4 linked regions of the Drosophila melanogaster genome follow. The protein of the gene in region 3 purifies or fractionates together with the protein of the main gene of each other region. This does not show direct contact. Each region holds a gene or a part of one and is shown on either strand. Other genes may lie near its edges.

The links.
Region 1: the proteins of CG8036 (region 3) and Akr1B purify together in Drosophila melanogaster (affinity purification with mass spectrometry, with the first as the bait; one large-scale study listed by BioGRID). This does not show direct contact.
Region 2: the proteins of CG8036 (region 3) and capt purify together in Drosophila melanogaster (affinity purification with mass spectrometry, with the first as the bait; one large-scale study listed by BioGRID). This does not show direct contact.
Region 4: the proteins of CG8036 (region 3) and yip2 purify together in Drosophila melanogaster (affinity purification with mass spectrometry, with the first as the bait; one large-scale study listed by BioGRID). This does not show direct contact.

The regions. Positions count from the first base shown.
Region 1 is NT_037436.4:11,620,016-11,625,907, forward strand, and holds Akr1B (Aldo-keto reductase 1B), read right to left. Parts: upstream 4,367-5,892; 5' UTR 4,333-4,366; coding exon 4,247-4,332; intron 4,184-4,246; coding exon 4,099-4,183; intron 3,701-4,098; exon of another isoform or gene 3,602-3,700; coding exon of another isoform or gene 3,533-3,601; intron 2,161-3,532; coding exon 2,018-2,160; intron 1,952-2,017; coding exon 1,468-1,951; intron 1,408-1,467; coding exon 1,199-1,407; intron 1,089-1,198; coding exon 1,043-1,088; 3' UTR 908-1,042; intron 651-907; coding exon of another isoform or gene 605-650; 3' UTR 520-604; downstream 1-519. Other genes in the region: Muc68Ca (mucin 68Ca), read right to left, coding at 1-57; CG6083 (uncharacterized protein), read right to left, coding at 4,711-4,765, 4,836-5,537, 5,602-5,744. UniProt on the Drosophila melanogaster protein: Catalyzes the NADPH-dependent reduction of a wide variety of carbonyl-containing compounds to their corresponding alcohols.
Region 2 is NT_033779.5:1,151,178-1,158,108, reverse strand, and holds capt (capulet), read left to right. Parts: upstream 1-1,797; 5' UTR 1,798-2,140; coding exon 2,141-2,363; intron 2,364-3,055; coding exon 3,056-3,557; intron 3,558-3,702; coding exon 3,703-3,827; intron 3,828-4,377; coding exon 4,378-4,723; intron 4,724-4,790; coding exon 4,791-5,338; intron 5,339-5,408; coding exon 5,409-5,932; intron 5,933-5,993; coding exon 5,994-6,077; 3' UTR 6,078-6,431; downstream 6,432-6,931. Other genes in the region: Vps29 (vacuolar protein sorting 29), read right to left, coding at 6,698-6,931.
Region 3 is NT_033777.3:8,665,877-8,673,870, forward strand, and holds CG8036 (uncharacterized protein), read left to right. Parts: upstream 1-1,991; 5' UTR 1,992-2,160; intron 2,161-2,239; exon of another isoform or gene 2,240-2,332; intron 2,333-2,735; exon of another isoform or gene 2,736-2,829; intron 2,830-3,204; exon of another isoform or gene 3,205-3,298; intron 3,299-3,652; 5' UTR 3,653-3,948; coding exon 3,949-4,052; intron 4,053-4,623; exon of another isoform or gene 4,624-5,029; intron 5,030-5,834; coding exon 5,835-7,433; intron 7,434-7,501; coding exon 7,502-7,679; 3' UTR 7,680-7,826; downstream 7,827-7,994. Other genes in the region: CG8032 (uncharacterized protein), read left to right, coding at 22-796, 859-979, 1,038-1,220.
Region 4 is NT_033779.5:9,913,665-9,917,720, reverse strand, and holds yip2 (yippee interacting protein 2), read right to left. Parts: upstream 2,469-4,056; 5' UTR 2,374-2,468; coding exon 2,355-2,373; intron 2,097-2,354; coding exon 1,930-2,096; intron 1,670-1,929; coding exon 741-1,669; intron 682-740; coding exon 600-681; 3' UTR 501-599; downstream 1-500. Other genes in the region: CG5885 (uncharacterized protein), read left to right, coding at 1-278; Srp54 (splicing regulatory protein 54), read right to left, coding at 3,132-4,056.

The sequences.
Region 1 (5,892 bases), on a different chromosome or scaffold from region 3:
TTGGGCCGCTACGTAGGCGAAATAAGCGGCCAAAACCGCGACGAGGAACAAGCGCATGATCCTCCAAGAAACCGGGTGTCGGATCAATTAGATCTGGTGGCCAAATTTAAAATTTGAAACCTTTTATACTCTGATACGGGGGTCTCGTTATTATTTTGGCTATTTGCGTAGATGCTTGTCTAGCTTGCAAAATTTTATTTGACAAAGAACATTTGGTACTTCCATTGTTTCTACGAATAATACAATAACTAAGCAAATTGTATGAACTATACTATACGTCAAAGTAAATATCTTTTAAATACCTATTAAGAAACAACTGTGCAAAATATTTGTGCTCAGCTTGGATTAAACACTTGTTAGATATTTTGACTTTACGTAAATCGTTCGCTCGTGTCAAATTTATACGTCAGAGGTGCATTAACCGATTTTTTAACAATTCATTAAAAGCACACGAGAACCATTTATTTGGTCAGCCAGTTCTCCAAAAATTGAAACAATCAGGGGGAAGACGAGAACGTTATTTGTATTTTTGTTTATTCGTACGATTAAAGATAAAATGATTATGCAACAAATTATAGATTTGAACCGAGCACTGTGTCGCTTTCTAGTATTCGTCCTTCTCGAAAGGGTGGTGAGGGTGACCGTATTGGCTGTAATTATTTAAAAACAAATTTGATCAGTATATGTTATATAAACTATATTTAAGCACAAGCTAAGCGAACAATGGGTTATCTACAACTACTACTGCCTAAGCGTAGAAATGTGTTTAAATTATTAAAAGAAAGATATAAATATTGTTAGAGCACAAGCGGGGAGAGTAAAACAATAATAAAGCTAAATAAACCAAACTCAGTAAACACAAATATTAAGGAAACACGAATATGCGCTTAAAAACTTGAAAACATACGTTGAACTCATGTTCATGTTTATATAGACCAGTAAACTTTTTGATTTTTTCTTCGTAAGCGTTTCCCTTTCCAATAGGTATAATTTTTCATTCATTCGAATTCTTCTTGCTCTTCAGATATAAGTTTCTTAAGGCCTAATACTCGTCATGGAACGGATAGTACTTATGGGTACCAGCATCCCTGAATAAATACAAATAAATATGTGATTTTTTCGAGTAAAATAACCGTAAGCCCACATGTCGTTAATAATGTAAATAAATAAACATTATTTAAGGTGCTAGTAGACTTACTTGAGTAGGGGAACAAGGCGGCCGTTGCACTCGAAGCTTTCGATGATTTCGATTTCCTCAGGTGTCAGTTCGAAGTCGAAGACCTGGAAGTTGGACTCGATGCGGTCCTTGGTCACAGATTTGGGGATAACAATGTTGGCACGCTGAACCTGGTATCGAATAAGGATCTGTCCAGGGGTCTTCTTCTTCTTAGCGGCAATTTCCTTGATCTAAAAGTTTTAAAAATGCTTAAAGTTAAATTCAACATGTTGTTATCAATGCAAACCAACCTTAGCCTCCTCTAGGATGACCGGATCACCAGCCTTGGCCCATGGGCGGTTGGGAGATCCCAAGGGACTGTAGGCAGTGATTGTAATGTCCTTTGACTTGCAGAAGTCAATCAGCTTCTTCTGGGTCAGATATGGATGGCACTCAATCTGATTGGTTACTGGTGGAATAGTGGCCACCTCAAGCACGCGCTCGATCTGCCTTCTGTTGAAGTTGGAAACACCAATGGACTTGACCAGACCCTCTTCCACCAACTTCTCCATGGCCTTCCACGTGTCGACGTAATCAACCGGCGAGTACAGCGTCTTGCCATCCTTGTCGGTGGGGAACAGATCGCATCCCTCCTTGTAGCCCATGGGCCAGTGGATAAGGTACAGATCGAGGTACTTCAGCTTCAGGGAGCTCAATGTGTTCTCCAATGCCGACTTGACAAGATCCGGGCGATGGAAAGTGTTCCACAGTTTGCTGGTGATGAACAGATCCTCACTGCGAAATTGTGAAATTCAGTACATGAGATTATCCCAACAACAGTAGACCAAGACTAGAACATACCGCTTGACAACGCCCTCCTTGATCTTGGCCTCAACACCATCTCCGACCTCATCCTCGTTTTGGTATACATAGGCACAGTCAATGTGCCTGTATCCGGCATCAATGGCAACTTTGACAGCCTCGGTGACCTGACCCTTGGGGCTCTGGAAGCAAATTAGCAACATATGGTGTTAAAAAATGCAACAAATTGTAGTTATCATGTAGATTAGGCCTTTTCTAAATAACATTTATCGCACAATTCTGTTATCACAAGTTCTCTAATTGGCTTCCGCACTTTCAAGGGTTAATAAATTGTGTTGTGCTTAGAAATGGAAAGAAGCATTAATAATCATGGAACCATAGAATATTCGATGCTCTTAACGGAATTTCGCAATTCGTTATCGAGCAAAGTTTCAGTTATGAGGAGCGTGATTTGGAAATCTAAACACTAAAGTCTTCCCTATCAGACACTTGACGTCACTTATCAGCCCCCTTAGTTCCCGCATCCAAAAAAAGATTCTAATGAGATCATAAATAGGTCAGATTATTATAGTAAAATAGAATTACAAACATGAATCTTATAGTTTTAAAGGGGAACATTTTTAAGTATGTAAATTGGCCAAAGTTTATAAAATTGATTTATGTTTCACAAAGAAGAAAGGTCAAAGACTTTCATTAAGTTTTGACTTTATAACTATACATTACGGCCACTAGACATTTGTTGTTTAATTTATGGGTTGGCCACCAAGCCTCTCCTTTTTTAATCTACAAATAGTGCACGTTTACTAATTCAGATAAGCCGTTTTTAAAAATACCCTTATAATACCCTTGCTAATTAAAACCGCCCTATCAGCGTATATTTATTTTTTTTAAAAGCTTTCTCATTACGAATTGTATTCAACTTGTACGCTTGTTTTCCGTTTTTGAGGGGCTTGTCTTTCACGATTCCGATTACACCTTACTTTTGTAACACTTTAATATTAAAACTGAAGCAATCTTGTTAGTTAATCTGCCACTCTAGATAAGAGTAGAACCCCGTTACTATGTGCCCCAAATATATAAACGTTTGTGGATTACAAGTATCTGGAAATGATGTGGCACATATTGCGAAAAGTTTCCACTGCCCTAAGAAGGTAGAAAGGGTCACCTTGACGAAAGTTCATGGAGATCTTCAAATCACACATCTATTCACCATGGTGTGCAATAATTAGCATAAAGGCAGCAAAATATCGGTTATTTTTGTAATATAGCTGCTAGATTCGACGCTTTGCAGCAGATATAGCATTTAATATGTACATATGTATGTACATACAGACTGACCGGCAAAATACAGCCGGCAAACTATCAGCAAAGCGACGCTTTTTTATCCCCTATGTGTATTCTGGCATCAGTGCAAAAAGAGCTGGGCAAAAAACGGGAAATCGTGGGCAGCGGAAAACTACCCGATTGTGGGAAGCAGAACTCACAAACACAATTGCATTGATTTGCAAGTGGTATAATGTATAAAGTAGTGCAATCACTTGATATTCTACTTACGCCCCAGGTTCCCAGTCCAATGATTGGGACTTCCTTGCCGTTGTTGAATTTAACGTTCGGTACAGCCATTGTACTATATTTTCGCTTATTGTTTAAGGATATTTATAAATATTTATAATACAATTGGGAATCTTTTAACGATTGCCGCCTCTCAACAAACTGAGCGATTCCACTCAGCTGTTAACCGCTTATATACGCACCGCAAAAGCTTGTTCGAAATTCTAAAAAGCTTTCGGAGGACAGGGCTGCATAGTCGACAAGCCGAACAGCTGAGCGATCGTCAGTTACGCTTAAATATCGAGTGCTGATATACTCTCTATATAGCATAAAAGAAAATATATATTAAACTAAATCAATTAAAACATTTAATGATTTCAATAAATGATACTAAAATGTATCATTTTACATATGTTATGATCGCTATAAAATTTCAAAAGCCCTTCAACCATATAGGCTCTTTATGATCGCTATGTAAAAATTTTTATATCCATATCTTCGTAAAAATATGATTATTTATCAAAACTATGGCATAGATATGAAAAAACAGACATTGTCATAATATTTACATTGAAAGTTCCGAGCCCAATTACTGGAATCTCATTTCCGTCCAAGCAAACCACCTTGGGAGCTCTAGCATACTCCTTCTGACACCTACAATATTTGTGGAAATTATACTTTTGATGCTTTGTTCGATTTGATTTTCCTATATATTACCACATAAATCGCTCTGGTTTCCCATAATTCCTCAACGTAATGCGAAAAACAGGCCTAACCAATTGAATTTTCATTAGAGTGTTCATTTTGCACGCCAGTAAATTTTAATTATTTGTGTAGAGACTTCTTGACGGATGGAATGCAATGGCTACTTGGTTTTAGTATTGAAGCCTAAATGAAAAATAGCAAAATAAATGTGTATATAAAAATAAACAGCCACATTTTAAATACAGCTTAAAATGCCCACCAACTCAAAGGCTACAATTCGATTTTACACACAGCAAAACAGTTTAATTATATTATATTATTATATTGTATAACAATAATTATGCTAGACTTCTCAGTATAAAGGAAGTACCTGGACATCATCAGTATAACTCTGCAGATCGCCGCATACAATCTTACTTATCACATTAAAGGCAATCAGTTTAAATAACTACTTGTACTTCTAATATTAATTAATATTAATTATCTACTTTGGCTTTGGGTTCAAATGGATGATGAGGATGTCCATAGGCCCTAGGAGAAAAATAGAAAGATTCGAGATATTTCAAGTTAAAACCTAGGAAATGAAAAGAGCAACACCTACGCCTTCATGGTCATAAAACGCCCATTGCAGTCCAATTCGTTAATGGCCTGTATGTCATCGACGGCCAACTCAAAGTCCCAGATTCGCTTAAAGTTGTCCAACATGTGCTGTTTGCTTACTGATCTTGGGATGACAATTATACCCGATTGTGTCTGAAAGCGTAGGAGCACCTGTGCCGCAGTCCTTTCGTATTTCTCAGCTATAGCCAAGATGGTCGGATGCTGGAGCAGTGGATAAGCGCCGGGCTTCTCGTAGGGCGTATGTCCCGATCCCAGGCAGCTGTAGGCGGTCACAGCAATGGCATTGTCATAGCACAGCGTAATCAATGGCTTCTGACTAAGGTACGGGTGGCACTCGATTTGAAGAACTACCGGTTTAAGCTTGGCCACACTGAGAAGTCTATTCATCTGCTGCTCATTGAAGTTAGACACACCGATGGCCTGGCACAGACCCTCGTCCACCAGATTCTCCATTGCACGCCACGTGTCCACATAGTCGATGTCCTCGAATGCGGCCTTATTGGTGTCCGGACACGTGGGATATAGGTTGTCACTGCCCGACTTGTAGGCCATGGGCCAGTGCATCAGGTAGAGGTTTAGGTACTTGACTCCCAAGTTCCTTATGCTTGTCTCACATGCCGGGCGCACCAAATCCGGCTTGTGGTGTGTGTTCCAAAGTTTGCTCGTGATGAAGAGTTCATCTCTGCAGTGCAATATGTATTTATGGCTTAGATAAACGATTGATTAGGCCTGAAAGCAGCACTTACCGTGTGACCACTCCCTCGTCCATTTTCTCCCGGAGAGCAGCTCCCACTTGCGCCTCATTGCCATAGATATGAGCGCAGTCAAAATGGCGATAGCCTATATCAATAGCATCCTTTACTGCTTGGGTCACCACTTCCGGCGGGCTCTAAAATGGCGAATAAAACGTAAAAAGCTGAGGTGCATCAAAAGCTTTTGCTTGACCCCGAAGAGCTTTGACATTGACCGTGAAATATGCAGTGGAAATGCACATTTCAGCTGGCTATTATTTAATAACAATATATATCTATGTAAAA
Region 2 (6,931 bases), on a different chromosome or scaffold from region 3:
TCCTTGCAAATTCATCAGCAGCAAAAGAAGGTGAGTAACGCCTGATTGTTGCTAAAAACGTTCATTTAAACGGGGCTTTGCTATTATTCGCAAATTCTCTTCTCCCGTTCGCCGGCTGAAAGTGTCTGCGGAATTAACGGTTATTGGTGAGGGGTGGGTGGTGCTGTCACGAATTTGAGCGTGTGTGTGTGATGCAGGCTGTGGGTGTTTGTACACACACAACAACAACAACAGCGAAGAGAGCCAAAAAGACAAGAGACAGCTGTGTGATGGCTATTTTTGTGTGATTCATGTTGCTTGTAAAATTAAATCTACATGGTGTATTTTTAACGATGATTTCATATCCGATTCCATGGCATAAAGACACAACTAATTCATTGCCAGCAAGTGTATGCAAATTAACCCTTAGCAGCTCCCATTGCGATTGTTAACCCCCGATAAAAAAAAGTAACTACTCAGCTGTTGTGGCCATTTTTTGTTTTTGTTTCGCTGACTCACAGACACATAGTTGATATGCATATGTATGTATGCATGTATGTAGTTTACGCAAGAGCAAACACGTTTGCTTGTATTCGTGCGCGAATGAGTCAAAAAGTTGGCCAAAACGCTTTTATCAGCGAATCGCGATTGAAAATCGGCAGATATTACCACTCACTCGATTTCGGTGGAAGAAAATAACACCTCGCCTTATAAGGTGGGCGATTTTTCTTCTACCATTACGAACACCCCCCACCCCTGGTAATTCGAGCTCACTCACACTCTCGCAGCGGGAATAACGGTTCCTCAGCTGCAGACATTTAATCTTGGTTTCTAGTTTTTCTTCCCCATTTCTTCTTTGCTTTCTGCACGCAACAAACGCATCTGCCGCAGAAAACGCATCAAGACTGCAAGGAGAACTAGTATCGCCAGGCGAAAGTTGAATCTCGGCTTACTTGTCCTCGGCGGCTTAGCCCCTCCCTCCAATCCAACGGCTACTGATGCATTTCCCACTCTAATTGCCAGCCATTTGTTTAAAGCTACTTAAAAACAAAAACAACGTTGCCGGTGCAATAAACCCATTGCACTAAGGCCAAAACAAAAACTGGCAAGCAAACGATATGGGAGTTTCAGTTACGTCGACGTTTTTATACTCTTCTGCGGCAGATTACTTCACAAAAAGCTGAACATTTTAAAACTGTTTTTATAGCCGGCTAAGATATGATCATTGCATCTCTCTACTCTCTATGGCTTACAAACGTTATGGTAATGCTCAAAATGGAATCATAGTTTCATTACCGATCATTCCTGGAAACTTTCCAAATAGTAAAGATAACTCGGTGTTGTCACAACTAATTGATAGGCGAACCCTGCCTTACAGGGCTGATAAAACTATGGGATCGCCGTGGTTTTCCCTCACTTAAGTCGCGCCACCCGTGGCGAGAAGGGTATCACGAAATCACAGTGGTGTCTGCGCAACTCTCTCGGAGAGTTTTCCATTTTCCGCCTGGACCGTAAGCTTTCTCTGCTGCAAAAGTGCAAGACATCGCCGGAGCTTGCACAAAATCCTGCATGTCAGGCCAAAAGCGGTTATTAATGAAACACATTTCATTGCCAGTCGGTGGCTGGCCCCAAATGGTCAAAAGCAGCGCGGAGTAGCCCAACAAGGCGGCGAAACTCAGCAGTTAACAGCGCGGAGCTCTCCTAACAGAGTCCTGTTGAGACCTTCGAGTTCGAGTTCGAAATCGAATCGAATCCCCGAGTGCGTGGGCGTGCGCTTCGTTTAGGGTGTGTTCTGTTCTCCGTGTGTAATCGCATTTGTGTGCCATTTGGTTCTGTGCTTGGTCGGCAGTCACTTGACCCAGTTGAAGGCGCGGACAACTCGGAGGACCTTATTAATGTGCCACTAAATTTGGGCCATACACTGAATATATGTACACAGTGAGCAAGGAGTGGCCACGTTCGTTGGAAACCCGTTGAGTGTCTTATATGGCTGCTGCTGTTACTGCTTCTACTGATTCGATTTGGTTTGGTGTGCCGTCAGTGTTGTGACCGCCGCTTGAGCTTCACGGGCATCCGCAGTCGAGCCACGGAACTTACATAATGTGCTTGATTCGTACCTAGAGTGTTGAGCACCGGAAAAGCCCAGCCACACGCCTGCAAAATGTTCTCCTGCTGCCGATCGAACCCCAAGGCGGGCAAGAAGGAGAAGGAAAAGCGGAACGCAGAGGAGGAGAACGGCGGACAGGTCACCGAAAAGGAGGAACCCCAGCTGAACGGCAAGCCAGGAACTCCGAAGGAGGAGCCAGAGCCTGTGAAACCAGAAAAGGAGCTCTTGGAAGCGCATAATCCCGAGGATGTGCCCACAAGCACCCAGCCAAACACTGGTACTGACGCAACGCTAAGTATTTACCCACCACCCCATCTATTCGCGTTCTCCGGCCTTCGAGCTCAACAGCTGTCTCGGCTTTTGTCTGCTCTCCGGAACGAAGGCCCCTATCCGGCCGGCTCTCACTCACTGCAATGCCACTGCAGCTGACCACCACTTCTGATCTTTCCTTTCATTTCAATCCGGGCACTTCAAGCTGCCTTGAGTGTCCTTTTCTATTTACTTATGAGTTGTCTTCACTGTGCTTTCTCTTCGGTTTATTTCTGTGAATTTTATACATATGAATATCAAGGAATTGCGCCGATTCTCAGTTGATTAATGAGGAATAGCTAATGACATTGCATACACACTTTTTGTTGAGCACTTAGATCGTGCTCATCCATCAAAGTGAACGTATAGTATATAGTAGTGACGAATATAGAAACTAAAATGAAGGTCAATAATTTAGACAGAAAATTCAAGATTCTATAGATTCTATAATAATAAGGTGAGCAGTAAAAACTAACTACTCAATCTGCCAGTGACCATGGTAAATGCTTTTAAATGCGATAAATAAACATAATGAAGACAGGAAGCGAGGTGAGCAGAGAGTGAAGTGAAGTAATCAACTTAAGTATCGGCGCTTTCCTTGATGATCGTCTTGGTAATTCGTCGCTTCATGTAGAGTAATCTTAAGCAACACTTCCACAGCCCAACCAACTCAGGCTGAAGCGGCTAGCAAATCATCACCAGCAAATCCAGCACTAGCACCCAAAGAACCGGAGCCACTGGCCCGCTCAACGCACTCTTCCACATCCACGGCACCACCTGCTTCGATGACCAGCGGCGACGCGGAGGAGGCGGACGAAGTGGTGGTGGTGGCGACGGTCACGCCGACCACACCGCCTCCTCAGCCGCCGCCCACCAAGAGCTGCCTGTCCAGGCACAACTCAACGCATCAGTCGATCAAGAAGAAGGTGAATATCAGCAACCGGGCGGAGATCATCGAGCCGGATCCACTGCCACTGCTCCTGCTGGCCAGCCAGAATCAGGGCTCCTTGCTGGACGACGACGAGGTGTTCTCCGACTCACTGCCGCCACCCAAGCGGGAGAGCATGTGTGCACCCTACATCGAGGGGGATGTCGTCTCGGAAACACTCTTCTTTGCCCACGGATTACCCTCGTGGTTCGACGACGAGCGCCTGAACGACATGTATGCTTACCCAAGATCCTGTTTTGGTTTCACGCCCAAAATATCCATATAGTTAAGCTGAAACCAGAACAGGTCGACCCCTGCATTCCCAGCCCCGCTTTGAATTGCCAGTACATCGTCTCCTCTGTCCTCGTTCCATGTCCAGCGGCTGCATCGAGCCCCCGGTCACGCCGGTGGGACGCGACGAGCTGGAGCTGAAGCGCCAGCGTCTCTACACGGAGCTCCTGCGGGCCGCCCATGCGGCTGTGGAGCATAGCGTGGCCGTGCGGGGTATGCGAGCTTCGATAGAGTCCGATTCTTTTGCTTTTTTTTTTCGATCTCAGCAGTTATTTAAGCGGATGCTTGACTTTCTGTGTTCTTTATGTGTTCGTTTTCGCTGTGAAGAAGTTTTGAGAGTCTAGCGATTCACGTAACTTCCTGATGGCCAATAAGTTCGCAAGTCAAGTGCTTCCGTTTAAAGGTTCAACTTAGTTCTTCTCTCTTATGATTTTTCGTTGTCTTGTGCCGTTTTTGCATGTGGATTATTACTTTCACTCGTTGGGATTAGCTCTTTTTGCATATTGAACTTTATAAGTATTAAGCGCACCAGTTCATCATCATACACAAGCTCGTGATGAGGTATTCCTCTCGAGACGCCTTAGTTTATATCGCCTTTTTTGTCAGGTATTGTGAGTGCACGATTCACTGGGGTTTATCACGCTGAAGCATCATCTCACTCAAGTTATTTTCTTTATAAAACTCAGTGTTATTTGAATAATTCGAGATAATTGCCAAAACGAACTAAACATTTGCCGTTCTCCTCCGCGTCATTTTGGTTCAGATAACGAGCCGGAAGCCAAGCCCTCGGCCGCCGTCGACCACTTGGAGAGCATTTGCGAGCGACTGGAGACCCTCGTCGACCGATTGGAACGGACTCTAACAGCGCCACAGCCGATAGAACTGCCCACGCCCACACTCCCGCCTCCGCCAGCCGAAGAAGAAGAAGCTCTTCCAGTTTTTGAAAAAGCAGAGACACCACCTCCACCTCCCTCGCCGCCCAGCAGCAACATGAGTGTCGCCGGATTCGAGGACATTGTGGCGGGTCCGCTGAGCCAATACCTAACTCTCTCCGCCAAAATTGGCGGCGATGTGGCGCAGCATGCGGAGCTCGTGAAGAGCGCCTTTGGGTGAGTCAGTCTGGATGAGTCATCTATGGTAAAAGTGTAATAATGCCATCGTTCAATTCCGCAACAGCTCCCAACTGCAGTACGTGACGCTGGCCACCCAGATCGCCCAGCCGGCGCAGCCCAAGCAGGCGGAGCTTCTGAAGCCGACCTCGACGCAGATCAGCGCCATCCAGGACTTCCGCGAGAAGCACCGCTCCTCGCCCTTCTTCAACCACCTGTCGGCCATCAGCGAAAGCATTCCCGCCTTGGGCTGGGTGTGCGTGGAGAAGACCCCGGGTCCCTATGTCAAGGAGATGAACGACGCCGGCCAGTTCTACACGAACCGCGTGCTCAAGGAGTGGAAGGAGAAGGATGTTACGCATGTGGAGTGGGCCCGCGCCTGGGTGCAGACGCTCACCGAACTGCAGGCCTACATCCGGCAGTACCACACCACGGGCTTGGTGTGGTCCGGCAAGGGAGCGGCCCCCGCCGGAGGTGCCCCGCCACCACCGCCACCCGGTGGTCTGCCCCCACCGCCGCCCATGCTGGATCTGAGTGCCCTCAAGCTGGATAGCGCCGGAGATGATCGCAGCGCCCTCTTCGCCCAGATCAACCAGGGTGCCGACATCACCAAGGGTGAGCAGCAACTGCAAAAATGGTTAAGTGCTCCTATAGTAAGAAAATGTATCTTTTGATAAACCCGCAGGCTTGAAGAAGGTCACTGGCGACATGCAGACCCATAAAAATCCATCTCTACGCACTGGACCGGCTCCGTTCAAATCGCCAGCCCAGTCGGGCGGCAGCAAGGCCGTTGCTGCTCCATCAGCTGCGCAAGCCAAGGCGCCCGTTTTCGAGCGCGACGGAAAGAAGTGGATCATCGAGTACCAGAAGAACAACACCGGGCTGTTGGTGGAGAACGCCGAGATGAACAACGTGGTGTATGTGTTCAAGTGTGAGGGATCCACTCTGACCGTCAAGGGCAAGGTGAACAACATCGTCTTCGACTCCTGCAAGAAGTGCTCCCTGCTGTTCGATTCCGTGGTGGCCTCCGTGGAGTTCGTCAACTGCCAGAGCGTGCAGATGCAGGTGCTCGGCTCGGTGCCGACGGTATCGATCGACAAGACCGACGGCTGCCAGATGTATCTGTCCAAGGACTCGCTGGGCGTGGAGATCGTCAACTCCAAGTCCTCGGAGATGAACATCCTGTTGCCCGACGACAGCGGCGATTATGTGAGTTCAAAAATTTGTCTCTTGTCTTCAGTCATTTATTTATTTTTTTTGTGATTTCCAGACCGAGTTGGCTTTACCGGAGCAGTATAAGACCACGATTGCCGGCAAGACCCTGAAGACTGTGTGCGTGGACAGCCTCGGCTAAGGCGGTTCTCCTCCTCGGGGATCCTGTTCGTTGCTTTTCCAACTGTCGTCAGCAGCAATCATAATTGTATTTAATCTAAGTGCAAAGTTTTCGTAATTCAAAGATTTTTAGATCAAACATTTCGTATTGATGATGTTGCCAAACATTGCTGTCCTGGCTCGTGGAAAGTATTTATATAATTTATTTCGATGGAAAAGCGATGGCCACAAACCGAACCCAATGTATTTATATCGAGAGTGTGTTGCAATGAGAAACTGAGCATGAAATCCGAACTTTTGAGCAGACTCTTTACTCGATCATCAGATGTAACTCCTTTTTATATTCTATTTAATAAAATTTAAACTTTTTTATCAGATTATTGTGGGAGTATCACAATTTCTGGGGGTGTTTTTCCTTACTTTGTAATCGTTTATTATTGCATTAAATCTAAAACTTCACTTTCGTCCGTTCGTACTTTTATTCTCTATTTAAACAAGGTGCTAGCATTTTTTATCAGATAAAAAAATGAGAACTTGATTTATTGCTACGTACATTTACAATTTCTTTAATGAAGCCGAGCTCAGAATGCAGGGGTCAAGGGTTGGATTGGAGGGGAATGGCTGGTGGCTAATACTAGGACCCTAGATCTTCTTGTACTCGATGCGCTCCACTTTGACCTCGTCGCCGATCAGTTGGTACACGTACGTGACCACCGTGGTGCTCTGAATGTCCATCAGCACGAACGAAGGCACCACATTGGTGTCCAGTGGGTTGAAGGCACCCGTGGCCGATCCCGGATTGATGTAGAATTTGTTGCCGTGCTCGTAGGCCTCGAACTTGTACGTGTGCCCCGTGATCAGGATGTCCACGTCCAG
Region 3 (7,994 bases):
TGAATATATATTTTATTTTAGGCAGCTACACTGAGCTACAAGGAGGCAATATAGTGTTGCCAACTGGTTATAGCTCTATTCTGCGACCGCTGGGTGCTCAGATAGCCAAGCAGTCCATACTGACCAAATGCCCGGTGAAGAAAATCCACTGGAAGCGGAAAAAGACCTTCACTGGGCTGGAGACAGTCGACGAGAACTCGGAGGACGAGCATTCAGACGACTCTGAACGAACGGTGACGGAAGTGCCGACGGGGGAAATTCGTGGCGCCTCCGTGGAGTCCAACACCAGCAGCAATTGTGATTATCCTGCAGGCAACGTGCGCATAGATTGCGAGGACGGTCGAGTGTTCCATGCAGCCCATGTGATATGCACCATACCGCTAGGCGTACTGAAAAACACCCATCGCACTCTCTTCGATCCTGTGCTGCCGCAGTACAAACAGGAGTCCATCGAGAATCTCATGTTCGGCACCGTGGACAAGATCTTCTTGGAGTACGAGCGACCATTCCTCAGTGCCGATATATCAGAGATTATGCTATTGTGGGACGACGATAAGCGGGATATGAACAGCTCCGAGGAGGAGCTGGCCAGCGAAGCGTATCTCAGCAAGAATTGGTTCAAGAAGATATATTCGTTTGCCAAGGTGACGGACACGCTGCTCTTGGGCTGGGTCTCGGGCCGGGAGGCGGAGTACATGGAGAAGCTCGACCATGAGGCAGTGGCTGAAAAGTGTACGGAAATACTTAGGAACTTTCTGCAGGATCCTTACGTGCCCAAGCCAAAGCGATGTGTTTGGTAAGGCAAAGAAACATTATTTGGTTAAGAATGTTGTATATTAAAGAAAAATCTATTTGTAGTACCAGTTGGAAGTCGCAGGACTTCACCGGTGGCGCATACACCTCAATACCGGTGGGCGCAACTCAGGAGGACATCGAGAACCTCGCCCAGCCCCTCTATGCCACGCCCCAAGCCATGAAGGTCAGTTCTACAAGCTTGCTTCCCCGGCAATTGTTCACATTTTAATATATTTCCCCAGCCCGCCATAGTCTTTGCCGGAGAGCACACCCATTCCAGTTTCTACTCTACCGTACACGGCGCCTATTTGAGCGGACGGACGGCAGCGCAGCATTTGCTGGCGAGCGATGAGCCAGACGAAATCATCATGGAGTCGGACGGCAGTGATCTGAGCGCCTGGATACAGGGCATTGCCCTGGACTGAGTCTAAGCTAATCAACGACCACTCATCGATTTTGTATTATAATTTATTAACGTTATTTTGTACACTCTTTAAACGCTTTTTAGCTAGTGATATTTAATTTGTTCGATTGTAATTTATTTTGCTAGCGTCGTAAAACGATTTAACTCATTTTTGTACATCCCTTGTGAGCATTTGTTTTATTTTGTTGATGCAATTATTTTGTAATTTATTTGGAACCCGCTTGTACATTACTATAAATAAAAGTTACGAATTAGCTGAGCTGATCAATGTGCTGCCAACTCGAACAGACCGTGCACCCGCAGCAGCTTTCACTGTACTTGGACGAAAAAGTGTGCACAAAGACATAATGTTGTTTAGACCTAATTACCGATTAGCAACCATAAGTGTATGAATACAAATATATTGCCTATTTTTATAAATTCGTATTTAACGTAGAAAAGGTTGCACCAAAAGGTTGACACTAAGACGATCGAACAATGAGTGCAACTAATGTATATTTGAAAGTAACTATTGTTAACGTTAACTATTTTGCTAACTAAATTATGCATTGGTTGACTCTTTAAGGCGGAAAAGGAAAAGTTGGTATTCATAAGTCCGTTCTAACACTTGGATCTGCATATTTATTTGTATTTGTGACAAAAATATCGACTTGTACGCATAAATAAATAAATTAAATAAATAAATTATTGAATGAAAATGTATAATTTTAAATAGTAAAACACAAGTCGAAGAAAGTTTTGATTTTTTAACGATGGGGAGAGATCTGTATTATAAAAATCAAGTTGTGCTTTTGGTTTTAGGCCAACAAAAGTCTATAATTCAAAACATATGTAGATATCCTAAATTATTTGAAAGTCTTTCGCATTGCACTCGTAAATTTTTTGTGGATACATTTACTCGAACTTAGCTAAGGTGTGGTAAAAAAGCTAATAAGGATAAGGTAGGTGGAAATGAAAAGGATTGACTAAGCTGAATTCAAGAATGCATTAAAAATGGCTTGTAAAAAATTCGACAAAAAATCCTTCGAGCCGGATTTGAACCAGCGACCTATGGATTTCTATTGCATGTTTTCCAACTACAGTCCACCGCTCTACCAACTGAGCTATCGAAGGGGGCGTGCTGGGGAGTAGGTTAAACAACGGGTATCCGATTCATCGCGACTCTTCAATAAACTTTTGTTGGTAATCGGTTTAATTAATGCGTATTTTAGCTTTTAATGGATTGAGGTCACGGACAGCATATGCCATGTCGTTCAAATACCTTTTCTTTTGATTGTTGCTAAGCTAAAATTAAATAATATATTGATGTACGCGTAAAGTAAGACATGTTCATTTTCACGTGTTTTTAAAATTGATATTCTTCAAATTATTATTCATTTTATATAACATTGTGTTTATAAAATGTCTTTTGCATCTACATGTTTATAATTGCATACTATTTTATATATTTTTTATGGGGTACGGGTGCTACTATAAAAACAAAAACGAATTGGATATTACAAAAAATTACAAAAAATCCTTCGAGCCGGATTTGAACCAGCGACCTATGGATTTCTATTGCATAATTTTCCAACTACAGTCCACCGCTCTACCAACTGAGCTATCGAAGGTTGAGTTCAAACTTGGCCGTTGTTCGTTTTATGCATGCGCACAAACGAAATGCACCGTATTTGGTTATTTATTTTTGATTTTTACTTATTTAGGTCAAACAAAATTGATCAACTTTCTCTATTCAGTCCATTGCAGTAAGCCTATAGTTTCCAAGCCTAATAGCCTAGGCGCTTTTCACAAACTATATCAATTTAGTTACGGTTTATTTCTTCCAAATAAAATCCTTCTTATATTATTTAGTTTAAACAGCTCAGTTATATTCTGAATGTCTGTAGATGAATTAAATTGATTTAAATTGTGCACTACAAAATATATAAAAAAAAAGGTATGTGCACTACAAAATATATAAAAAAAAGGTATTTATATCTTTTCGATCCTTCGAGCCGGATTTGAACCAGCGACCTATGGATTTCTATTGCATGTTTTTCCAACTACAGTCCACCGCTCTACCAACTGAGCTATCGAAGGTTAAATTCGCTTGCGGCTAATTCACCTTTTGTTCAGGAGCGAGGTGGGGAAAGTGACAAAAAGAGAGGGCACTTCTCTTAAACACCGCTGCTCTTTAATACTCGCGGCCAGAAAAATAGGACCTTAAATTCTTGTAAACTTATATTAAATACTAAAGCATTGTAAATCTTAATGAGAAAATATTCAGGTACAACTGTTCATGGCTTAATTTTAGACCAAAATTGTGCATGAATTTAGAAAGGCAGCAATGCACTATTTGAAACTAACTAGTTACCCACCCACAGCTGTGCACCGATAAAGGGGTGGTGTGCGAGCAAAGATGCCATATTTATACATATATCCATCTCGTTCCAGCGCCGACGATAGACGATACCGATACTTTGCGAGTCCGCTCCCAAGATTGAGCCCCCACAGCGTAAAAGCGACCGAAGTGCCGGCGACGAGAGCAGTTCGTTCCCAGAAGCCGGCAGCAGTGGTCCGTTGATAACTCCGACTCGAGCTACTTATCCACCACGTCGATACTCTTGTCTGTCTATTGCAAACATAGAGGAGTCACCCTTTGGCTAACGAATCCGAAACTCCCGAGTTTTGTTGTGCAACATATCAAAAACCGCATTTGTTCGGATCCAATTTACATTCGCATTTCAAAGATGTCGTACCACAAGCCCGAAGCTAAGACCGTCCAGGATCTGAAAGATCTGGCCCAGAAACTGCGAATTCACTCTATCAACGCCACCCAGGCCTCCAAATCGGGGTAAGTTTATCAATAACTGAAAGTCCATAGGCATATTAAAGTGTGCGTATTTAGATTTGTTTGTGTAGATGTGAATTTTAAAAGTTGTGCACCTTGCACTTGTTGCTTCAAAGGTGACCCCCTCCATTTCCAGGGTGGGTGCGAAAAAGTTTTTGAGGGGGCTGCTAAATACATACATACATATGTATGTGTTTTGAAACATTACAAAAGAAAATAAAACAAAAATAGTTACGCATATACATAGTTATGCATCTATGTTTGTATGAATGTGAGAAGTAAAATATGGGAAGACCGGTTCCTTTAGTGACCCCTCCTGGGATTCAGTTGCCAACCCACGTGTTGTCCAGTAGCTTTAGTGAATTTGCGAATTTGTTGCCCTGCCTGCGTGCTCAGTGATAAGCCGCGTTCACCTACCTTAAATTGTGAGCTAATATTTTTTGACCTTAGACAACCTTGAAACGTTAGGTTTTTCTTACTGCCTTTTAATTTCTTTTGCTTTTGTTTTGTGCGTGGCGTTCAAAACGCCGAAAGCACATACATATGTACATGGGGTAAAAACAAACATACTTACATATCAAACAGAGGCATTTAATATACGTATGTACATATGTACATACAAGTGTTGGAAAGCACAGCTTGTGACGGGAGTGGAATTGGAAAGAGAGGGATGAGAATAGTAATGGAATGATCCCCTACACTTGAGATTTACGACTGTATGGCTTTTAATGTAATTATATCTCGGATAGACGCGATCAAATTATTACTGCAACAGTAAATAAAAAAGTTACTATGCTGATAAGGAAAACACTTTTATCGCCTCCATTAGTTTTTCCATTCTGTTTCGTTTTTTTTTTTTTTTGTGACGGTTCAAGATAAGATCTGCTCTGTTTGCTCTAAATGTGACCTCTGCCGACGAGATAAGCCCGGTTTGGTTACTCATTGACCACGATATGACCGATTAGAGGTGACCAGCTCAAGTGTGTTCCCCGCATGATAATCGAAAATCACTGAAAACTGATAAAAAAAAAAAAAGCGCGCCGGGTCACTGCTAACACTCCGTATCACCTTCAATAGTTCTTGATATGGCTGCAGGAAACGGGGACGCACTTCGGAACTATCTAGAAGCACGTGCGTTCACAAAGATCGCCATGCAACACAATCGTGGAAGCCAAGAATTTGGTTTTTAAGGCTATTATTTAGGTTTTTTGGTGATCAGAAAAGTTCAAGGTCCCAGAAACCGGTGAGGAATTGCGATGGACTCACGTCGCGACAAACACACATATCACACCATATAACGCCAATAAATACATATGCATGTACTCGTTATAGTTTATTTATATGTCTGGGGTAAGACGAGCCCCCCATTTTGTCTGGGGTTGCGTGTTTTCTTTGCGGTTGGAGTTGTGCCAGATCTGCGATTCAAAGCAATTTTTTTTGGAACACGATCGCATGGGAACATTGAATTCCAAGAATGGATCTTATCTTATTTATATGTACATTGCAATTGGATACTCGAGAAATCTTCATTTGAAATATGAACAGAGGGGGGGGGGGGGGTTTAAATAAAAGCTTCAATAGACAAATGGATTTCTTTTATTAAACAACGTTTTTAACAAGTATGCACAGTGTTCAGTTCCACTTTTCCTTTGTTGATCGGCCTTCACTTACCCACCGTGAGGTCGACTTCTATAATTCATTAGGCACTTACCTTAACCTAGAACTACATGCAAACGAAATGCCTTGTCACAATCTAATATTTTGCCTACTTTTCCCTCTTTATAGCCATCCCACATCATGTGCCTCGATCGCTGAGATCATGTCCGTGCTGTTCTTCCAGCAGCTGCGCCTGAACCTGAAGCACCCACGCGATCCCTCCAGCGATCGCTTCATCCTGTCCAAAGGACACGCTGCTCCCATTCTGTATGCCGCCTGGGCTGAGGCTGGTCTCTTCCCCATCGCGGATCTGAACAACCTGCGCAAGATCGACAGCGATCTGGAGGGTCACCCGACGCCTCGTCTGAACTTCATCGATGTGGGCACTGGATCCCTGGGACAGGGTGTCGCCGTCGGCGCTGGCATGGCCTATGTGGGCAAGAACTTCGACAAGGCCGACTACCGCACCTACGTGGTGGTGGGTGATGGTGAGTCCGCCGAGGGTTCCATCTGGGAGTCGCTGCACTTTGCCGGCCACTATAAACTGGACAACCTTTGCGTGATCTTTGATGTGAACCGCTTGGGCCAGTCGGAGGCCACCTCCCTGCAGCATAAGCTGGATGTTTACCGTGATCGTCTGGAGGCCTTCGGCTTTAATGCCGTCGTTGTCGATGGTCATGATGTCGAGGAATTGAGCAAGGCTTTCCATTGTGCTGCAATCACCAAGAACAAGCCCACCGCCATCATTGCAAAGACGTTCAAGGGCAGGGACTTCCCCAACATCGAGGATTTGGACAACTGGCACGGCAAGCCACTGGGCGACAAGGCCGCCGAAGTGGTGAAGCATCTGGAGGGACTGATTGTCAACAAGAACGTCAAGCTGACCCCTAAGCCGGTGCCCAAGACTGGTGCTGCTCCCGACGTGGACATCAACAACATTAAGTTGAGCTCGCCACCCGCCTACAAGCTGGGTGATTCCATTGCCACCCGTTTGGCCTATGGAACAGCTCTGGCCAAGATTGGCCAGAACAACCTGCGTGTTGTTGCCCTAGACGGAGACACCAAGAACTCAACTTTCTCCGACAAGCTGAAGAACCTCGACCCGCAGCGCTACATTGAGTGCTTCATCGCTGAGCAGAATCTTGTGGGAGTGGCCGTTGGAGCCGCCTGCCGTCGCCGCACTGTGGCCTTTGTGTCCACCTTTGCCACCTTCTTCACCCGTGCCTTCGATCAGATCCGTATGGGCGCCATCTCGCAGACGAACGTTAACTTTGTGGGCTCCCACTGCGGCTGCAGTATCGGTGAGGATGGTCCTTCGCAGATGGGTCTGGAGGACATTGCCATGTTCCGCACCATTCCGGGCAGCACCATCTTCTATCCCTCCGATGCAGTGAGCACGGAGCGTGCCGTCGAACTGGCCGCCAACACCAAGGGTGTCTGCTTCATCCGTACGTCCCGTCCCAACACCTGTGTGATCTACGACAACGAGGAACCCTTCACCATTGGCCGCGGCAAGGTGGTGCGCCAAAAGAGCTCCGACGAGGTGCTTCTGATCGGAGCTGGAATCACTTTGTACGAGTGCCTGGCTGCCGCCGATCAGCTGGAGAAGAACTGCATCACCGTCCGTGTGATCGATCCGTTCACCGTGAAGCCATTGGACGCCGAGCTGATCATCGAGCACGGCAAGCAGTGCGGAGGACGCGTAGTCGTCGTGGAGGATCACTACCAGTAAGTGTTCTTTGTAGTCTTTTTATTTGCCTCCTTTGCTAACTTGAAATTTACTTAATTTCTTATAGGCAAGGAGGCCTGGGTGAAGCTGTGCTGAGTGCCCTGGCTGGCGAGCGCAACTTCGTTGTCAAGCACTTGTACGTGCCCACCGTGCCACGTTCGGGTCCTCCGTCGGTACTCATCGATATGTTCGGCATCTCCGCACGTCACGTCGTCAACGCCGTTAACGAGATCCTCAAGGATTAGGGGACCAGTCGTGATCTGGCTACATTCATTTACCGCCTACAGGAATTCCCCCAGTTACTACTTACTTCCAATATTACCATTCCCTCTAAGATTGTTAATTGCTTCATTGATTTGAACCTTACATCATGGAAATAAAATATCTTTAATAAAAATAGTTAAGCCGAACTATATACCTTATTTACATATTATATTACTTATTTACTATATTACTTATTACATGTTAAGCATGCCTTTAAAATGGCTGGACGATTTCATTGCGTTTGCCTTTGGTTTGCTTTAGACTTGCTTTGGTTTGTTTTTAGTTTGCTGTGGTTT
Region 4 (4,056 bases), on a different chromosome or scaffold from region 3:
AGGCGGTGACCCGCGAGGTCAACCGTCAGGTGGGCGATGACAAGAAGGTCACGCGCAAGGAAAAGGACGAGCGCATCCTGTGGAAGAAGAACGAGGTAGCCGACTACGAGGCCACCACCTTCTCCATCTTCTACAACAACGCCATCTACCTGGCCGTTATCATTTTCATCAGCTTCTTTATCCTGAAGAACTCGACGCCGTTCATCAACTACATCTTTTCCGTGGGCATCGCCAGCGGCGCTCTGTCGCTCTTCTCCACCAGCGCACAGACGAACTGAGCGAATGTGCAGCCATGTCATCCCATGTTCATGTACTCGTAATGTAAGGCCCTTCAAGAGATTTCCTGGTACAGCGGGCTGGTCCTTCATCCGCCAACCCCCGTCCCATTGGCGTTTCCAGCAGTGCGAGCATAGAAATTTTATAGTATAAACACCAACTTGTCTTTCTTGTAGAAAGCTGATCAACTTCCATTCGCTGCTGATTGAATAAATTGTAAAGATAAAATAATTTCTTTATTGCTATCGGGGTATTTTTAAAACGGAATTTTCAGCACTAATTTAAGTGTAAATGCAGGGCACCTATTACATTAAGCTGTAGGATTAGACAGCCTCGAGGAGAAGGGCGATGCCCTGACCACCACCAATGCACGCGGATCCAATGCCGTACTTTAGCTTCTTGCGCCTGGAAAAAATATATAATTATCAATTTATGACAGGTTGTAAATTTCCACGGAAACTTACTGCAACTCATGAACCAGATGACCAGTGATGCGAGAGCCACTGGCACCCAGAGGATGGCCCAAGGCGATGGCGCCTCCGTTCACATTCAGTTTGGAGGTATCCAACTTCAGGGCATCGGCGCAAGCCAATGTCTGGGCAGCAAAGGCTTCGTTGATCTCAATCAGATCAATATCCTCCAGTTTCTTGCCGGAAACCTTCAGGACGTTCTGAATGGCGGGTACTGGGCCAATGCCCATGATCTCAGGCTTGACTCCGACAAAGGAGAAGGCCACTAGACGGGCCAGAGGCTTCAGGTTGTACTCCTTAAGCGCCTCCTCGGAGGCCACGATCACTGCGGAGGCACCATCACAGATTCCGGATGCTGTTCCGGCAGTCACAACGCCGTTCTTCTTAAACAGCGAAGGCAGCTTGTTCAGACCCTCGATGGTGGTCTTGGGACGTGGGTGCTCGTCCACCACAAAGTCCACTTCCTTTCCCTTGACCTTAAGTTTGATGGGTGTGATCTCGGCATTGAATGCTCCCTCCTTCTGACCCTTCTCCCAGTTCTTTTGCGAGAGCAGAGAGAACTCATCCACACGCTCCCTACTGATCTTGTACTGATCGGCCAGGTTCTCAGCGGTCAGAGCCATGGGCAGCTTGCAGTAGGTATCGGTGAGGCCAGCCCATAGAGCATCCTCCAGATTGTAGCTGGCACCCAAGGTGGTTCCGAATCTCACATTACGGGCAATGAAAGGGCTCTGTGACATGTTCTCCACGCCGCCGGTAAGGGCTATCTTGGCACCGCCGACCAGGATGTCCTGGGCTCCGTTTACGATCGACTGGAAGCCGGAACCGCAAAGCCGGTTGATTCCAAGGGCGGGCTTCTCGATGGGCACACCGCAGTTGAGACCCACATGACGGGGCACATAAATACCATCGGTGGAGGAGGACTGCGAAGTGGAAGAGAAGAGATTTTTAAGACTTACAAGTTACAAAAAAACATAATATAAGCATGTAGTTCCAGTTTTTGATCTACTGAGTTTGCAATTAAGCAATAATAACAAATAAATATCGAGTAAATTAATTTACATAACCAGATGTACAAGTATTTTATCACATTTACATATTTCTTTTAGTTTAATAACATCTTAATATTGTTTTAATCCGACGCCTTAAGAGTTTCTATTTTAGGATCTTCAATCCAACTTACCGCGATCACATTTCCCACGATGACGGTGTCCACTTGCTCACCCTTAAGACCGGCAGCATCCAGGGCAGCCTTGGCCGCCGTGGTTTGCAATTGGGTCTGGTTGATGCCCTTCAAGGATCCACCGAAGGTTCCGAAGGCCGTACGCTTGGCAGCCACAATATAGATACCTTTACAAAGGAGAAGAAACATACGAACATATGTATAACATATATAATGTGCGTAGTGATAGCACAAATTTAGCTCGAACGAAGGCGGATTTTTGTTTTCGATTCAACAGGTCCAAAGTGCAACCGGCTGGACGCGGGGGGGGGGGATAGCATCAGATAAGACACCAACGAGTCCAAAGTTCAGATCTCTCTAGCGAGATCATCTCTTATCTAGACTTCCAACAGCATAGGCATATCCTAAAGGATTCACATAATTACCTTTGGTTGCGGCAGACATTTTCTAAGGTGGGTTCACTCTTAAATAAAACAACAAATAAATTAATGCAAGTAAAGGCGACTATCGCACTGCAATAACTTTCGACTTCTGGTCGCGATTCGCCGCCATCGCCGACATATTATTGGATGAAAGCTCGAAAAGCTTTACCCCGCTCTCTGACAAACAAAGTGAGACAAGCCCACCGATTACAGCTGTAGAATACACTGTGCAAAATTAGCTGCAGTTTGTTCCTTCCTTTGTTCTTAGTGACGATTAGTCACCATCGCTGAATTTCGATTTTTGATGAAACTCAATCAATCCTCTAGTTTTTAAATACAAGTCTCTTTAATGCGTTCTTAATGTATATTTATCAAAGCAATTTTGCATACTTAAGTACTCCTTACAAAATGTTGATCATACAATGTTTTAAAGTTGGTCTTCATTAGAAAGTTTTTTATTAATTTAACTTGCATTTGTATTGGGTTTTCCTAATAAGAAGACAATAAGATTGTTATAGTTTCCAAATAAACAATCCGTACTTGGCAAAAAATTAAAAAAAATTGTACTGCTATGATACCGATATCATTCATATTTGTATGTACTATTTTTTTCATTACGAAAGAAAATGCTTCAGTTTTAATTAGACTTTATACTTGAAAACTATGACAGAGTTGAGTGAAATACAAATCTCATTGAGGACAATGGGTGTCGGGTTGTACTGGAGACGGGGTTGCTTAAGTTCTGTATTTATTATAAAGTAGTATGCAATCTCTCTAGGTCTAGGGCGAGTTGGAGATGTCCATGTTGTCCGACTTCTCGACACTAACCGATTTGCGTGACTTCGAATCGGCGCTGGATCGTGAGCTCTTAACCTCAGTGTCCTCAGAGATGGATTTGAGTTTGCGAGTTTCGGGAGTACGGGAGCGGTCGCGCCGCCGGGATGACTTGGCGGAAACGATGACCGGATCCTTGCTGCGACTGGACCGTGACTTACTGCCGGTAGCTGGCGGCGGCGAGGGAGAGCTGCGCTTGCTTCTAGATCGGGGAGAACGTGAAGAGTGCTTCTCGCTGCGGTGTGACTTCTTGCTGCGCTCGCGGGATCGGGAACGTTTGCCGTTGCCACTGCCTCCTCCACCGGTGCCATGGGAACGCGAGCTACGTGAGCGTGAGGTGCTGCGGCGATGGCGGGACCTGGAGCGCTTGCCACGCGACCTTGAGGAGCGAGAGTGCTTGCCGCCACGGGAGCGTGATCTCCTGGAACGTGAGGAGCTGCGACGGTGTCGTGATCTTGAGCGCTTGCTGCGAGAACGGGACGAGTGCTTGCCACGCGACCTAGAGCGGCGTGATCGGGACACACTACGTCGCTCTCTGGAACCGGAACGCCTGGAACGGCGTCTCGATGTGGAACGATGCGAGCGGGATCGACTGGTGCGACGGTCCCGGGAACGGGACCGTGATCTCGACCTGCGGCGCTTGTCCTTAGCGAGCATTCCAATTACCGGATCAATGGCCGCTGAGATCATACTCTGCGCCTCTTTCACAATGGTCATGGCCTCCTCAATCTCAGCCTGCGCTGCCTCATTCGACTTTGCCTCCGGCTTGGTTATGGAATACGTGGAGTGGTAGACGCTTAGATGGCCACCCTTGAACTCCTGGCCCTGCATGCGCAGGGCGTGAATAATGCTGGTCTGTTCGCAGAACTCA